Linked DNA regions of Oryzias latipes. The protein of the gene in region 1 binds, or shares a complex with, the protein of each later gene. Links are inferred from orthologs where the notes say so. Each region holds a gene or a part of one and is shown in the gene's direction. Other genes may lie near its edges.

The links.
Region 2: rptor (region 1) and mapkap1 share a complex: the UniProt entries of both Homo sapiens proteins name them as parts of the mechanistic target of rapamycin complex. The link is inferred for Oryzias latipes from reciprocal best matches to the Homo sapiens genes RPTOR and MAPKAP1.
Region 3: the proteins of rptor (region 1) and eif4ebp1 are in contact, whole or in part, in a cryo-EM structure (PDB 6BCX), measured with the Homo sapiens proteins. The link is inferred for Oryzias latipes from reciprocal best matches to the Homo sapiens genes RPTOR and EIF4EBP1. Residues at the interface, in NP_065812.1 of Homo sapiens: Arg54, Arg305, Thr317, Asp321, Phe337, Arg338, Leu341, Ala344, Arg348, Leu437, Gln438, Leu440, Leu441, Ser442, Gln443, Arg446, Tyr475, Lys478, Leu479, Gln481; in NP_004086.1 of Homo sapiens: Glu111, Ser112, Gln113, Phe114, Glu115, Met116, Asp117, Ile118.
Region 4: rptor (region 1) and rictor share a complex: the UniProt entries of both Homo sapiens proteins name them as parts of the mechanistic target of rapamycin complex. The link is inferred for Oryzias latipes from reciprocal best matches to the Homo sapiens genes RPTOR and RICTOR.

The regions. Positions count from the first base shown.
Region 1 is NC_019859.2:4,711,558-4,715,757, reverse strand, and holds the start of rptor (regulatory-associated protein of mTOR), read left to right. Parts: upstream 1-1,400; 5' UTR 1,401-1,864; coding exon 1,865-1,881; intron 1,882-1,966; exon of another isoform or gene 1,967-2,121; coding exon of another isoform or gene 2,122-2,138; intron 2,139-4,200. UniProt on the Homo sapiens protein: Component of the mechanistic target of rapamycin complex 1 (mTORC1), an evolutionarily conserved central nutrient sensor that stimulates anabolic reactions and macromolecule biosynthesis to promote cellular biomass generation and growth.
Region 2 is NC_019870.2:25,040,403-25,044,676, forward strand, and holds the start of mapkap1 (target of rapamycin complex 2 subunit MAPKAP1), read left to right. Parts: upstream 1-1,474; 5' UTR 1,475-1,660; intron 1,661-4,274. UniProt on the Homo sapiens protein: Component of the mechanistic target of rapamycin complex 2 (mTORC2), which transduces signals from growth factors to pathways involved in proliferation, cytoskeletal organization, lipogenesis and anabolic output.
Region 3 is NC_019867.2:12,547,796-12,552,026, forward strand, and holds the start of eif4ebp1 (eukaryotic translation initiation factor 4E-binding protein 1), read left to right. Parts: upstream 1-1,431; 5' UTR 1,432-1,739; coding exon 1,740-1,875; intron 1,876-3,277; coding exon 3,278-3,466; intron 3,467-3,889; coding exon 3,890-3,921; 3' UTR 3,922-4,231. UniProt on the Homo sapiens protein: Repressor of translation initiation that regulates EIF4E activity by preventing its assembly into the eIF4F complex: hypophosphorylated form competes with EIF4G1/EIF4G3 and strongly binds to EIF4E, leading to repress translation.
Region 4 is NC_019867.2:18,765,701-18,769,949, reverse strand, and holds the start of rictor (rapamycin-insensitive companion of mTOR), read left to right. Parts: upstream 1-1,449; 5' UTR 1,450-1,467; coding exon 1,468-1,516; intron 1,517-1,641; coding exon 1,642-1,689; intron 1,690-3,951; coding exon 3,952-4,049; intron 4,050-4,249. UniProt on the Homo sapiens protein: Component of the mechanistic target of rapamycin complex 2 (mTORC2), which transduces signals from growth factors to pathways involved in proliferation, cytoskeletal organization, lipogenesis and anabolic output.

The DNA.
Region 1 (4,200 bases):
AAATGACAGGAAAAGGTTTCACCACACAACAGAATTGTTTCAGAAGTTGGGTTTTTCTTTCTTCTTCATTATGTAATAAAATAGAGGATTTTGTTTGGTTCACTCTATATCCAGAGACATCTCCATATTTTCTGATTATTTCCATTAAAGAACGAATTGACTTTTTTATTTGAGAGAGAAACACAATCACATCATCTGCATATACTGTAAAGCTATTTTGTGTTCTACTGGACCCACTCCGATTCTATGTAGCCCTGTATGGGAGTGTATTGCTATTGGTAGTGGTTCGATTGCATTGTAAATAGCATAGGTGATAATGGACACCTTTGCCTGCAGCCTTTTGTTATGTTTATTGACTGTGAAGTGTTCCTGTTTGTCAAGATTTTTGCCATGGCATTTTTGTAAATGATCTGGACCCACATTTTTAAGTTGGTTCCACATCCACATTTGTCCATGACCTTAAAGAGAAAAGGCCAATGGACCTTGTCAAAGGCCTTTTGAGCATCCAGTGCTCGTAAACCTGTTTATGCTTTATTTGTGCTATAATGAATAATATTTCAAACTCTTCTCACATTGTGAAATCCTTGCCTTGCAGATATAAATCCATTTTGGTCTCTATCAATAATGCTTGGCAATGTATTCTGTAGTTGTGTTGATAAGACTTTACAGATTATTTCAAGGTCAGGTTATTGGTCTAAAATTTTCACATTTGTTTGAAGGTTTTCCAGGTTTTTCTTCCATGATTTTTGATCTTCACTGGTGTAAACAGATTCATGAAATCCTCTTCACCTTTATCCACCTCTGTCATGGTAGGAATAACACGCCAATGTAAGGGTGGGGTCATCTGGACCCCACAAGATACCACAAGAGTTATTGATACAAATTAGTATCTTCATACTGATTGTAAGTTTAATGCTGTTCACTGCAAACATTCGTTGCTTGATAAAATTTTGCCTGTTAAAATCTTCAACAGTGCTTATTAGTTATTGTGTGCTGAACTTTTTAAATTTTATTACTAAGCCTCACAAAGTTAACAAAATGTTTAATTTACGCAACAACAAAAAAAAAAAAAATCAACATTTAGGGGGAGGGGGGGGGCTGGCTTTGTGACGTTCAACTTTTAAAATGTGTTTATGAATGGCTACATATTTTAATAAAACAAATTCAATATTTTATTTGTTAGCCTTTTTTCTTACCCCATAATAATTGGACGGCAATCCAAAACCGGAAGTTTACACGATGGTAAAAAATATTACTTTTTTTTTATAATTATTGTTGTTAATTGTTTTTCCTTTTTAAAACGTTATTTAGAATAGTACTTTTCTTTACTAAAGATAATTGAACAGTGGTCCAGTTATTTATTTTATTTTTAGCGTCACAGGAAAAGCAACGGTGGCGTTTAACGGTGCATTCTGGGTCCTACCCAAGATGGCTGCGCCCTTGCCGTAGTGCTGAAGCAGTGCCTCTCCGGAGAAGTTTTTAGGATTTTTTGTGATTTCTGACAGAATTATCGCGCCGAATCGGCTCGCATGGTCGCTGGCTTGTAGAGGAACAAGGCAGGACCACCGTCATCTATAAGTTTTGCTGGTGCTTAGCGTGGCTGTGGCAGACTGTCCGTGTGAAGATGGGCCTCGTCTCCAACCCCTTCCCATAGCGAAGAGCCGCGGGGAGAGGAGCCGAACATTCCCCTGCAAGCACACCCCCGTCCAGCTCGCCTTCGACGGGTTCGACCTCCTGTATCGGCTGTGGACGCTGCCCTACAACTTCCTCGCGAGGATTATTTGCGCGACCTTCTCTGTCATCGCCCGGAGAAGACGGAGAGCTTCCCCTGTCCGGGCTGATAATCCCGCCGCACCGACTCGGTATGCAGCTGCTCGCTGGGTCTGTACACCCCTTCCGTCTCGGTGTTCTGCGGGGTTCGCAGTGGATACGTTTAAGTTAGCGCTCAGAAAGCCGTGGGAGGCTGTAGGAGAAGTGACGGCGACTGGACACGGGCTGACTGAAGCGCGCGAGGACAGATAGCATTAAGCTAACTGGACCCTCCAGCTCCCGTTTGCTCCGTCAGCCTTGGGGCAGAGTTCTTCACAGCTGAGCAGCAGGCGTGTTCCCACCTAACCTGTTATGAAGACGTCATCCAGGTGTAAATCCCCCTGAGATCATACCCCTTTTTTGAACTAATGTCAAATACCTCGATGTTTATTTACTGTTAGCATGTGACGTTGTTTGTATTGTAAGAAGGGGATTTCACAGCAGAGCTTTAAACCTGACTTATAAGAACTACAGGAACTGCCTCAATGAAAGCGATGTCACTTCAGCAGAAAACGGGACTTCAGAGGCTTTCCTTCAGCCTGTAACGTCAGTGAAATCAGTTTCTGAAAGTTACTTGTTTCAGTTGGAACGGTAGTTTGGTTTTTGTGAATGAGAGAGCCAAATGAACACACATTCTGCCCTCAGAGGTTCCTGCAGAGGCAGGGAGAGGAACCAAAAGTTGAATGGACAACAGTAGATGTTTGCTGACATGCTCCTACCAGTGTTGGTCTGTGGATAAAACACCGTATCTCTCAAGCATAGAATAACTATTCATTCCTAACAGTCGCTTTGCTCTGTCTGTCATTTTAAAATTAATTGCACGTTCTTCATTTGTCTCAGAGATTTCAAAATATTTGTTGCAGGTTTCAGTGATGTTTGATTTATTTGTGGTCCATAATCCCCCTTAAAGTCCAACTGCAATCATCTTGTGATCTATTTTAAAAGTATTCCCAGTGGTCTTTTTAGTTATAATTATGCCATACTTAGCCAAAAAAACAAAAAAAAAACAGTGTTGTTTTCTAGGATGTAGTTTCTGCAGAGCAGCAGGAGTTCATTACAAATTCGCCTCTGAGTTGGAAGCGGGACTGTTGGCACAGAGCAACCCCCACCCCCTTTCCCATCATAACTGAGAGTTATCAGTTTACACGATGTCCTGCTAGCCTCACACCCCCAACCTGACATTACAGGTGCGACAAAAATGGCGAGCAATATTGAAGCCATCCAGCTGTACAGTTTGGAGCCAGATTCCAGCTCAGACGAGGAAAACTGAGCATGTACATTGACGTGATATTTTTCAAACTGCTTTTTTTTCAGTTGCTTCTGATTCACAACAATTTGAAATACTGAAAAAAATGACATTTTAAGCTGAATTTTCAATAGAAATGTTCTCCATCATTAGAAAATGCCACAAGATCATGGGATTCGGTCTTTAAAGAGTTGTGTTGTAGCTTTTTTGTTTGTGTTGTACGTCAGACTTTATAGAAACATGGTAAGTGTCTTAAAGTAAAAGATAAAAAAAAAGCCATAGAAAATGCAAATTGGGAAAAACCAAGATATCTGTTCAGAAATGAAGCATTTACAAACTTCAGGACTCTCCAAACCCAGTCCTGCTTCTTTTCCAGTCCCTCTTTTCTGTTGTTTCAAAAATGTTGGAGCATCTTGGGAGGCGATAACTGAGGAGGTTGATTATGAAGACCAACTGTTTTGCTGTAAAACAACCACAAAGACTTAGTTTTGTGTTTTTGTCACCTGGCAGGGATGATGAGTGGAAGTCACTATGGCTGGGTACCGCTGCCAAAACAAGGAATTTAATACAATTTTAAGTTCACAACTCTATTCAATTTCCAATTCAACACATTTTGATTTATTATTTATCATTTAAATAATCATTTTATCTTTAAATATGAAAAGGTGTTTTCACATAACTAGTGATTTGAGCTGAGGAAAAGTGGATTTTTTTATTAATGAGATTGTAACTTATTACGTTAAAAACAAAATGTTTTTAGCTTTATTTTGAGTAACAGTTTTCTTATAACTGAAGGTTAGCACTAACTCAAAATCCGTGTTAGTAAAATAACTACCAGACTGTCTACTAACGTTTTGGTGAAATAAAAAAAGAACTGAAAGTGGGTTTAGGGTTTTTTGAAAAAAACAAAATGCAATGAGGAAGAAGCATGGAAGTTTCACATGGTGTTAAAAATAACAAGCTTTTATCTGTTCATTGGTGAGTCCTTGGTGTCATGATGTCATGACTTACAGAATAGTTTGGATTTTCCACATTATGTTGTCTTAAATAAAAAAATCTAAAGAGGTCCCTGTACGGAACCCTGGGGTACGCCTATTGAGATGAAGTATTATATTCTATAAAACCTTAGTGTTTCTAGTCAATTA
Region 2 (4,274 bases), on another chromosome or scaffold:
AAACATGTTGCCGCCCTGAAACCAACAGAGTGATCCTGAACTTTAGCTGAAGTGTTAATATTTACATGGTGTGTTTCCGGTTTCGTGTAGCTAAACCCAGAGCGAGGGCCCACAGCGAGATCCGCTGCTGACCGCAGATAGCTCCGCCCCCTCCCACCGACTGCTACGATGCTCTTCAGTGGACGCCTCGCAGAAAACCTTCCACTTTACAGGCTCCGATTCATTTGTTCTATGGTTTATAAGGGGGACGCAGACAAATGAGGAAAAAGAAATTCAGGAACAAAACACAGCGCAGAATAGGGATGCTTTAAAACTCATTTTACCACGTGGTTTCATCATTAAAGCGGATTGTGGAGAAAGCATTTTTGCATCCTCAAAGCAAACCATACTGTGGGGCTGAAAAGGTTCAAGCCAATGATAATTGTGTTTGGTTTTAACGTGTTCTTTTAACATTTCTCTGATGATTGAGGAAATGTATAGAGAACATTTAGCTCAAAACTGCATTTTTTTGTATTTCTTTATTCAAATTGTTGTGAATCAGGAGCAGACGAAAAAGTTCTGTTAGGTAATGTTTGCAATGTGGTTACATAAATATACTTTTATGTTTGTGTATATATATATCCAGACAAATACCAGTAGATCCAATTTTTTTACTGTAAGATTGGATAAAGGCACAGGCAGTGGGGGGCAATGCCCCCCTAAATACAGTGACTGCCCCCTAAATGTGATGGGCCACAAAAATCCACAAATAACTACAGGAATAAAAAAATAAAACAACTACAAGTCAAAAAAATGTAAGTATTTATGTATATGGAAGGACACACAGGCAAAGATACATAAAAAGAAAAAGGGTAGTGGTAGAGGGTGGTCTTCTTCAAACTGCTCCTGATTCCAAACAATTTGAATAAATAAACACTCAGAAATGCCATTTTAAGCTGAATTTTCATTATGGATGTCCTCTATCATCAGAAAAATGAGAACATGAACATGTCAAAAACATGTTCTTGTGGCAAAAAATAAGAATTTCACCAGAGTGGGTCTTTAAAGAGAGAGATGGAAATCTGTTGACAGGTTCCACAAGTGTAATGGAAAGATGGAAGAACTTTGAAGATCTCAAAAATATCCATGTAAATAGAAAAGGTTCTTGCAAATTTTTGCTGCGATAATTCTTTTTACTCATGATCGCACGATTTTGCAGCCACATTTCTATTTCATGTGATGATACTTTGAACTTGCAAAAGCATAATTTTATCTTGCTCTGGCATCTCTCTCTCTTTTTTAACTTTTCTTTATTTTTTCACTTTCTAGTGTGAAGTGCATTTGGATGTGTGCACAACATTTTGTAAACGCTGAAATACTAGTAAGGAATAAAGGTGCATATAATTCAGTGTTCCTTTACTTTCACTGCCTCGGTCAGTGAACTGCTCTTGTGCGTGTTTTTCGTTTGGTGGCTCTTTTATTGTGAAGAGATTACACCGGAAGTCAAAAGGATGTCTTCCTGGTTGCACGAGCGCAGCAGATTGCATTGGCTTTCGGTTGTTTTGAGACTTTAATGCATTGAATTGTTTTTCACGGATGTAACGACTCGTCGGCCAAATAAGTAGACTGGATGAGATGGAGGGACGTGGACTCTGCTGTGTCTCGTCAGAAAAACGTAGAGGTGGGATCTTCTTTCTGTTCATACCACTGCTATTGCTAACTGACTCGGGAGAGATAATCGTTAGCTTGAGTTTAGTCACCGCTAACCGACTGTAATGCGATCTGTAAGCTGTTCCTGTCATGTTACACGCTTATAAAGTATGAATCACTTCAGTCTGTAGATCCTCCTGCTACTTTTTGGAGCAGCTGAAATGGATTTTGTTGTAATTCAGCTGGTTTAAGTGAGCCATTTTGGTTAGGAAAACAAGGTGCTGCTAACGCAAAACATGATGATGATCTGATAAATGTACACAGAACTTTTTAATCCGATTGTTTAACTTCTACCTTCTTAAAATGATAAACTCCGACACAAATTTGTATTTACTGACATGTGGTGTTTGTTTCAGTTGTGTCGTGTGTTTTACACGAGCGTGTTTTTCCTGTGAGAACTTTCCCCAGATAAGACTGTGTCCTCAGCTGAAATGACCGTCAGACATCATTTACAGCTGTTACAGTGGGAACTGTTACGTCATCACAGTGATTTCTGTGCTCATAATCCGTTTTCTTGATGGTGAAGTGTTCTTCTCAGCTGCCCATGCGCTCAGCGCCGTCATCTGCCTGTTGTAGCTGTCAACATCCGTGTTTAGACTAAACACTGTGAACAAACTTCGTGTTTTCAGATGTGACACGACTTCTGATTCTTCAAAAAAAAAAAAGTTAGCGTTGTGCCCAAACACTAAAAAACACTGGCATTTGTCTGATGATAGAGGACATATATAAAGAAAATTAGGCTCAAAACTGTATTTCTGAGTATTTCTGTGTTCACGTAGTTGTGAATCAGGAGCAGACAAAGAAATGCTGTTAGAAAAAGCTTGTTGTAACTGAAGCTACTGCAGAAAGCCACAAGCTTCCTGCCCCTCCTCATTCTAATGCATCCACTCATGGACAACTTGTTCCATGTACATCTTTGTTTTCCCTGTCTGAGCTGGAATCTGGATCAAAACTGTATGGCTGGACAGCGCCAATATTGCTCACCATTTTTATCGCAGTGCTCATGTTAAGGCCCGTACACACCGGGACGAATATTCGCCAGGCGTTATTCGCCAGCGTTTTTCGCCACGTTTTTTGTGTTCACACCCAGGCGATTTCCACTGACGATGAGCCGAGCGAACATGCAATTTCCTTCCCTGACATTAGATGGCGCTTAATGTAAACAGAAATACTCCTGTACACAAGGTGGCGCTGCGCAACTTTACGCTTATTAAAGTCGCTTTTCACTCAGAAGAAGAGAGCAAGTATTTACGCGCTTGTCAGAATCAAACAAAGAAAACATGAATATTTCAAGCACCAGTTGCTCCAACTGGTGCTTGGTTCGGGGATATTTTAGAATGTCCGTCATTATTTCTTCGCAGCAGTGTAGACGCTACTTGGCGTCTATCTTCTTCGCTGGTATGTGTGCTCAGCAAGGCAGTTTTGTGTTTGAGCGCCCCCAAGTTGTGTTTTACTGTAACTTCAGAAGCTCCAGACATGTGTGCAAAAGCGCCATTCTCATTGGTCGAATAGATTTCGACGCGACGCGTCGAAAAAAAAAAAACGAACCCGAGGCGTTTTTTTTTTTGACGCTTTGACGCCTGGCGTTTTTTCGCGTCGGTGTGCACACTCCCATTGGTGCCCTTTGTTTAGTCACGAGGCGTTAAACGTCGGCGAAAATCGCCAGCGAAATTCGTCCCGGTGTGAACGGGCCTTTAGGTTGGCGTTGTTAGAGGCTCTAAGCTAGTTGGAGAGACTGTAAACAGATTGGTGACGGGAAGTGGTGGTGGGCTAGCTATGTGCCACTGGTCAACTCAGAGAATCTCTAATGAACTCCTGCTGCTCTGCAGAAACCATGCCATAGAAAACTACACATAAAACAGCATAAACATAAAGAAAGACTTCTGAGAATGCTTTTTGCAATAGATCAAAAGATGATAGGAGCGGGACTTCAACATCAATATTGAAAATAACCAAAAAAACATGGTTCAAATACATTTTGGCAATTGACTGTATAAGAGAACTGGACTTGCCGACCCCTCCCCCTGGTGTTCCTAACAGGAAGTACGCGCTGGCCCCAAGAAGCCAAAATCCTATAGACTTCTATATAGAAATAAACAGCTGTTAATCAGTCATTCTGTTGGTCAGAATAACCATTCTTGCTCCGATACCTTTTTTGAACATGTTCTTGATAATCCTATTTTTTCTAATAATATTTTTTCTTTAGTACAAGCTAATCATGTTATAAACTGACCAATCATGGGTCTCAATAAAAGCGTGTGGCCTCATGTTCAAAGATTGATTAACAGATTTTGTGCAGTCCGCTTTAAGTGGTAGGGGTGTGGCCTTTCAACAAGCTCTCTCTGGATTTGTGAGAGTGGTTGCCATAACAATGTTGACTCTGATTGTCTTAGACCAATCACTCCTTGCTAACATTGTCTGACTCCCAACCTGGCGACGTCCACATTGCAAAAAATGGTGACTGAAGTTACTTCAATTGGTTGGAACCAGAAGTAAGCCAATTTTCTGTGAGTGACGTCACACTTACTCTGTCCAGTTCTCATATTCAGTCAATGAGTTGGATTGACCCACGCATTTCATAGTTC
Region 3 (4,231 bases), on another chromosome or scaffold:
CGACAAGCGTCTTCCTCAAAGCAGCCTTCCCGCAATTTTCGTCTGCCCTCATACCAAATGTGAGACTGAGACTTCCAAAATGGCGACTGTTTGAATGTGCAAAGAAAGGAATCCAATGAACGCAAGCAAAGGGAGTCGTGGTCGTGAAAGAGGAAAAACTCGACAGTCCTGCACTTGAGGGCTAAGGCGATACCATGCACCAAATTCATGCAAAAATATAAACTTGCAAAAACTAGAGAATACGTGTATATTCCTTTAGAATGGTTTGGAGACATTATTGCAGTAATATTACTCTATACTAAGGAATGCAACTGCACACATGCACAGAAGATGTTTTTAAAAATGAAAAGAGTATATATATATATATATATATATATATATATATATATATATATATATATATATATATATATATATATATATATATATATATAAAATGAAATATATAAACATATATATTTATTTAGAATGCTATGCACCCTTACTTGTCAAATGGGATTCTAGTTATGTTATGGATGTACTTTTAGCATCATACAGCTGTAGCTACCAAGAGACTGTTGAGTTCTGGGTAATGCCTGCAACACTGGGACAAATAGGGGTATTGTGGGTATTTTAACTAGTTTTGCTTCCTTTTTTTATTTTCATGGAGAGTCAAAGATGGATTTAAAATGTACTTGTAAAATCCTTTTAATCCAATCAAAATACAAGGACATCTATTGACAATTTACTCTGTACACCAGCTCAACATTTACAAAATTAATAAAGAAATGAAATGTCTTTGTGTATGGTGAGTTTGCTTTTGTTTAAGGTACTCCATGACACATCAATTAAGCAATGATCTTAACATGTATGCAATGAGCTTTGTATGTTTCCACAACTGAAAATCACAAACAATTCTATCTTATCAGACTAAATAACTAACCAATTTAAACATTTTTTCCCAAAAATAATCTGCAAAACACATTCAGGTGCATAAGATTTTTAGAGGTGCACAAAACAAAATCTTCTAGGTTTCAAACTATTGGAAATGCCAAGGTATCTCCTTTTTTGTTAAGTGCAAGCACTAAAATATCATGTTTAAACTAAACTACTAACAGATTTTACGCTGCTAATCAGCCTAAATATTTATTCTAGTCTATATTTATTCTGGATTGCTGAACTCTGTATGTTGTAGGGCCATGAGGGAGAAGCACCCAGCTTGATTCACAACTTGTTTATAGAAACCAAGATGAACCTCGTACAAGTTCACAAAAATGACTAGAGTCCTAACTAATCCACACTAAATGTGCGCAATTTGCTGTAAAAGTGAATATGTTTTTTTTGTTTTTATAGATCCCTTTGGATTGAAACTACAAAATCAATTCTACATTTGATTATTTTTTTAACGCTGGTGCAGTAGCGCCAGTCACCAGTAGAGGGCGTAGACGTTTTCTGGATAGCATTTTTCCCTGCAGTCATCTGTCTGTCTACCTTGCCTGTCTGTTGTTTTGTATGCATGTGGAAGTGGAGGAGCGTGTGTCCTGAGGTTCTTTTAACAAAGATTATCGACACCTCCTGTTTGTGAGAGCGCGTGTGGTGATAATTTGCACTTATGAAAAAGAGGTATTTATTTTTATTTATCAAAGGCAGCCGTTCTTTTGAGCCAAATAACTATCTGGCTTTGCCCTGGGACGCCCAGAATTTCTTTTCGTGGCATATTATTTAGTTAGATAGTTTTAGTACAAGAGTCCTAAGAAAAGATGTCCACCGAATGCCAGAAAACAACTGCTAAGGCCATTCCGTCCACAAAGAGAGTAACCATCAACAACGCTGATCACATGCCCCACGACTACTCCACTACCCCCGGAGGGACCCTGTTCAGCACCACACCGGGTGGTATGTATAGAAATTTCAAGTCTTTTTCCAACACAAAACACGCATGTGCGAAGATTTACTCAGATTCACGCCACATGGGACCCACATCCTTTTAGATCATCGCTACTGTACAGCCAGCTGATAGCTTGCAGTTAAGCTAGCTGCTAATGCTAGCTAGCGGGTGTTTATTTTAAGCTAGTTTAAAGTAACTCAGTCGTATGCATTTTAAAAATTTGACATATTGTTACATATCTTTATTCTGCTCAAATTGTCTGCTTGTGTTTGAAGTGTTTATCTTGGGTTTCTTGCTTTCTTTTAGCTCTGGCTGTACTTGTTGCTAAAGCTGGACAGAATAGCATGTGGGCGGAGCTTAAGATGTGAAGGGATTTACGGGTCAGGGGTGGGCCTCGGCCTTAGAGGGGCAGGATTTATAAAAACACGAGCTGGAAGGGGTGGGCTTAAACATCAGACTCCGCCCTTCCAAACCTTGTACTGTTACACGTAAATGTAATAATATTTTCCACAGTTCATTGAAGGTGTAACTTTTATACAAAACCAACATGATATTCCACCAGCAACAAGCCTCTCAAAACTATTTATCTGTCATTCTTTACATATATTTATTTTTTATAATCCCACTGGCTGTTTATTATTGTCTCTGTATTGTACACTGTGTACTACATTGGTACACAGATGACCTGATCCCAATGGCGATATGATGTACACATTACATCTGAACCATTAGAGTCGGATCCTGAAATACTTAAATTAAATGTGTCCAAACCAAGATTCCAGATTTTAATGTTGATCTTAAAAGTCATATTTTAACACTTCAAAGCATTTATGTATGTACTTAAAATAATTGCTTTATTTGTTCAAAACGACGGAAGTAAATGGGTCATGTTGTGTTTTCTTTCTCGTTTGGTAAAACTACAGGGTTCACACTGTGTGGCAGCACATTGCATGCTATTTCTAAAGAACAGGGGAGCATGTGCATCAGGTTAATAATTGCTGGAAATAAGCGGTAGCTCCGTTTTTGTGTTGCTTGAGAAAGGTGTCCACCTGAGTGGGGTGGTTGAAGTAAATGGAAGTAAAATTATTTGAAATGTTATTTTTAATCATTTGCATTGATATACACACTAGTTTAATGATTTTTACTGCCTTTTTATGTGGAATTCCTTAGAGATGTGAGCCAAAAAAAAGCATTTTTCTGATAAATCAGTCTTGATCGTCTAACCTGAATACACCTGAAATTATGTTAGCTTTTTTAAACTGCTGGGTGCACTTTTGATCTAGCTTAATGATTATCAGTTGTCTTTTGTGTTCTATGTTTCACTTAACTTATTCATTCCAAAGCCATTTTTCTGGAAAAGCGGACAATTGAAAAAATGTTCTGACGCACAAAGCGTTTCTGCACAAACAGGTACTCGGATCATCTACGACCGGAAGTTCTTGCTGGAGTGTCGGAGCTCTCCTTTGGCAAAGACTCCTCCACGAGGCCTTCCCAGCATTCCAGGGGTGACCAGTCCTCCAACCAAAGAGTTCAACAAGAAGACCCTTAATGGAGAAGTAGTGAACATAGACACGCCTGCGGCTGACAGTAGCAGTGCAGGTATGTTCACAAATCATAGTCTGACCAAAGTATTTAAAAGAGTCAAATTTGGCATTTTGCTCCAGCATAGTGTTGTGTATAACATTTAATGAATCCATCCACAATAGGTAGAACATGGAGTTATTTTAGGCCAAATGCATGTAGTGGTGCAATTTCCAGTGTAATAAAGTTTCTTGTCTGCTTGTAAAAGAAAAAAAAACTTAGTCTTGCAATATAGCATACATAATTAGATGTATTCTAGTTGGGGTTTTTCTACTAAATGTAGAATTTGGTAGCTAAATGCTTAAAGAAGAATAAGCAAGTTGATGCACCTTAATCTTGAAGCAAGATTGTTTATTTTGACTGAAAACATTGTCTGTCAACGTCCTTGTTGCCTCCTGAATTTTAGAAAGTTAAAGTATAATTTTTGTGTGCTTTTTCTAGGTGACGATGCGCAGTTTGAAATGGATATATAGGTGGATCCAATGCTGTGAATGGAGTATCTGGAACGTCTCCTCTTATCCCATCATCATTTCTTTGGAGGAAAAGTGATCTCTTTTAGAATCTGGGTTAAAAATGTCTGTCTTTGATACTCATATTAATGCCTGAAGATCACAAGCCTTTTTTTTTATTCTATTCAAGGTCTAAAACCTATTTGCTGATGATAAAGTGTGCCTTCATGTAGTGGCATCAAACGGAACACAGACACCAACAATGCCTCATCAGTCAGCAGCAAGAAAGTTTAGACATAAAGAGCTCATTTTCATCAGATCAGGAGTGTTCCAG
Region 4 (4,249 bases), on another chromosome or scaffold:
TGAAGACATATCTGTGAACATAATATAAATAGGTTTTGTGATAAACATTCAAGAGGAAGGATTAGTGATTTTTCAACACATTTCCAAAGTTGAATTGAATTGAAATGGTTCATTTCAAGCAATCAAATAGGAATAATACATAAAAACAATACAATCATCAGTTATAGATTCGTACCACAACTAATCAAACTTTGGATAATTAATCATATAAATAAATATTGCTTGAAAGGGAGTGGAAGGAAGCGAACTTATATAAACCCACCCCTGTTCTACCGTAACCATTTTATAACATGATTTATCATTATCCGGTTAAGTGGCCATCTTTTTTCTGTCTTGGTTTGTGTTCGTAAAGCATTAGCGCCATCTAGTGGTTAATGTGGTCATAGCAACCTGAGTTTTCTTGCAGCTTTTAAAAAAAAATGATAATATAACAACTGAAAATGTTGAAACATTCGTCTTTTACTTTTGGTACCTCTGTTTTTTAATGAACCAGTTATTCTGTAATTTACACGTCTTGAATTTTTTGCATGAAAGAAGTCTTTGGTATCACAACGTTAGTAAAAACAAACACGTTTTTTACTCAAGAGAGAAGCTAAAAATAATTCATGTATTGTTCATCGTTTAGAGTACACTTCTATGAACTCAAGTAACAAGCTCTGTGGGACCAGCTGTCATAAACTATACAGCGACAGACATCAAGACTCATGATCAAGACTCATGAGGTTGGAATGAAAAAGTAGGTCAAGGTCTTTCTGTAATTGCAAAATCATTTAAGCAGGCTAATGCAACAAAAATCCCTTTGGGTTTGAACAAAAATAGTCTCTGAGAAGATGAAAGAATTATGTTTTTGCTGATATGTGTGCAGAAAAAGGAGCTGCAGTGATGTCCAAATCCTCTAAGCAGGTCCATTATGTGCACTACTTGTGTTGTACTTATTATTGTTATTTATTCTTTGAATATTTCCTATTTGTAACAATAACTTTAACATAACACAACTTGCCTTAAATCAAGTTAGAACATATTATTTTTTGTTTTCAACTTAAATATTTCCCTAAAGTTAGGATAAAAACATACGTTTAAACCATATTACAAAACATTTTGCACAAATTATTCCTGTCACTAAATCCCAATCATACATGAAAACATGAACCATGACACAAACTCAAACAAAAAAACTAAGATTTGTTTTTATAAAAACAAATTTAGCAAATTGGTCATGCTGAAAAATATTAATAAATAAATATTACATTTGCAATTAAAACTCGAATACTGCTGCTAACTAAACTGTTTATTTCTGTCGTTCAGTCGCCAGGTCAGATTATTTTTTCATTGCCGTTGGAGGTTAAGGGATTAACTGGGATTCGCCTGATCCCAGATCTGTGATTTGCACCGCAGCGATTTGCGTTTGATGTCCGTGTTCTCGCGACATTCCGCGAAGTTTCCGGTGTTGTGTATGTTCCTGGAAACATGGCGGCCAGCTTCCGCGGCCGTCCTATCCGGAGTCTTCGGATGCGAGGTAAGCGTGAAAAACTCAGCTCATAATTTGTTGGAATGGCAGCGTATTGCAATAAGAGCACGTCTCCCACAAAACATAGCATTGAATTTGTCCTTCAGCGTTTCCGTTGCGTTTGTTTTTGTCAGGGCGGAATGACAGCGGGGAGGAGAACGTACCGCTGGATCTGAGTAGAGGTAAGCAGAGGCTCATCATTCTAAAAGCTATTATTGCTCAAAATGGATTATGGTTGACTTTATGCACAAAATATACGAACCTCTAAATGAACCACGAGATTGCCACGTGGATGCATTTTTAATTAAACGTTTTATTTGTTGTTGTTTTGTTCAAAAATCTTCCTTTGTGGCTATAAACAGGCGAGAGGGAGCTAACTAGCTAGCTGATTTAGCGTTAGCTGGCTGCCACAGCTAACCAGTCATGACGATGCGCTGTTGTTTTGGTAGGCGTGAGTGGGCTGCAGAGCCTGCTATTTAGCGAGACAGCCATTAGAGTTGCATTAATACACGAGGCTCCGCTGGCTGTCAGAAACCCTGAGCTTAAGCCGGTTTGCTGAGCAATGCACATACGGGCTTTTTTTTTTTTATTCACAGCTCAGCCGAGTTAAATTTGCTCATCTAGCAACAGCACTGTCTGCTTGTTTGTTTACACCAACCAGCGGCTGTTTTCTTTGTTTGGAACCTTTTGCGGCTGCTAGGCACACTTGACTCACGATAAAAGCACGATCAACGAGTTCTGATGGAAACATTTCGGTCCTAAATTAGGAAAACGATTACGAACATAGTTTGTGTTTTTTGTCAGCTTAGGTTTTTATATAAAACGTATCTTACTGGAACAAACTCAACCATTGATGGGGGGTATTCCAGAAAGTAGGTTATGCTATTTACCACGATAAGTTTGAGGCTAAGGAAGCGGATAGCCTCAGCTTTTGGTTCCAAAAACAGTGGTATGTTTCAGGGTATGTGAAGTTGCTATAGCAACTCATGCTCTGAACATAACCTGGTCTGGAGCAGGTTTAGTTGAAGGTTAGTTGGTTTCAGAGAGGTGAAGGAGCATGCAGTGTCCATTTGAAGATGATTTAGTGGATGAAGAAGCTCAGATAATACTTTTTCCACCATGAGAGGGTGATAAGACCACGTATGGATGTTGGAAAGATGAACTTTTTTACATTAATCTAACTTAATTATTTGCTTCAGTTAAGATACATTCTTTTTGTTACATGAGCTTAAAAAGAACACTAAGTTATCAGACAGTTATTTTACTTTAATTCAAATTAATTCAATTAAGTAGGTGTAACTTTGGTGCTGCTGTTAGATCGGCGCTGCAAGGAATTGTGGGATACCATTCCCTTTGCCTGTCTGGACGGATTTGGGTTTAAGTGTGGGTTTTTGACCAAATGTGTTTAGTTGTTTATCTGTTTTACTGTGTATTTCCGAGTTATTTGTCCTGTTGTGTTTAATTCTTTCTGCACCATGAGTGAGAGGGAGGGAGAGAATGATGAGGTTATTTAGCACCCCTACTGCTCAGTGTTGTAATGTCAAAGTCAGAGAAAGGATAAATGACTTTAAGTTTTGTGTTGTGAATCTATATTGTTTCATTCATTTTAATGTTATAAAAATGAGAATATCTACAGGCTCAAATGTAGACATATGAGAGTTCAAGAAATACAATAAATTAAGATGGAAAGACATTTAATTGAATTGGAGTAATATGACATTTAGTTAGAAAAATATGTAAATTTGAGATTTCAGCCAGAGTTCAGGGTTAAAGTCAGGGTAGTTTAAACATGCTTCCTGGATTACCCCCCAGGAACGTTTATAATGCAATAACACCACTGTTTCTTAAACGATTGATCGATTTTTGCTTCACGGATAAGAAGCTAAAGTTTAAGGTATATTTATACACCAGTGCTTGTTTGCCTTTTTGCTTTTGATACTTTTATCTTAGCATCATATAGGAAATCTTCTTAAATGTCAACCTCAGTTAAACCATTTTCGTGGTATTCTATTGTTTTGTTTTGTAGCTGTACGGATTTTTCCCCCTTTGTATTTGAAGTTCTAAATCTTGTTAAAATATCAGTTTTTTTTATGGAGAGATAATATAAGACAATTTAAAACATAATCTGGGATTAGGATGGTCTATTTACGTGTTTGTGAAATGGATTTCTTCATTGATTGGTATATCTGACATTAGTTTCTACAGATATTAGATGTCTACATATGAAATAACCTCGCAAGTGTTTTAATATTTTATCAAATAATTAACATTAGATGAATTGTTGGAAAGCAAAGTCTAACTTGCTCGACTTTGCTTTTTGCTATAAAGGTCTAGTTTTGACTGCATAAACGTAAAACTAGTAAACTAATTGATAGCCCTTTCCTTTTCTCCTGTAACCACAGAGCTATTTTGTCCACTGAAATGGTCTTTTTGTTTCCCTCTAGAACCATCAGAAAACTTCCGGGAAATTCTTCAAAATGTGGCTAAACCACACGGAGTTAGCAACATGCGAAAACTGGGCCACCTGAACAACTTCATAAAGGTAAGAATGCTGCAGCATTTTTTTGCTCCACATGCAGCTTTTTAAGGAAGATGACTGTAGATATATTGAATGACTGATCAACTACTCTTCCTCTGAAATGTAGCTGCTGACCTGCTGAGGTTTATACCACAGTTTAGATTAAAAAAAAAAAAAAGCTCTGGGGATAGAAATGCATCATAAGCTTCTATTCAACTAGAATA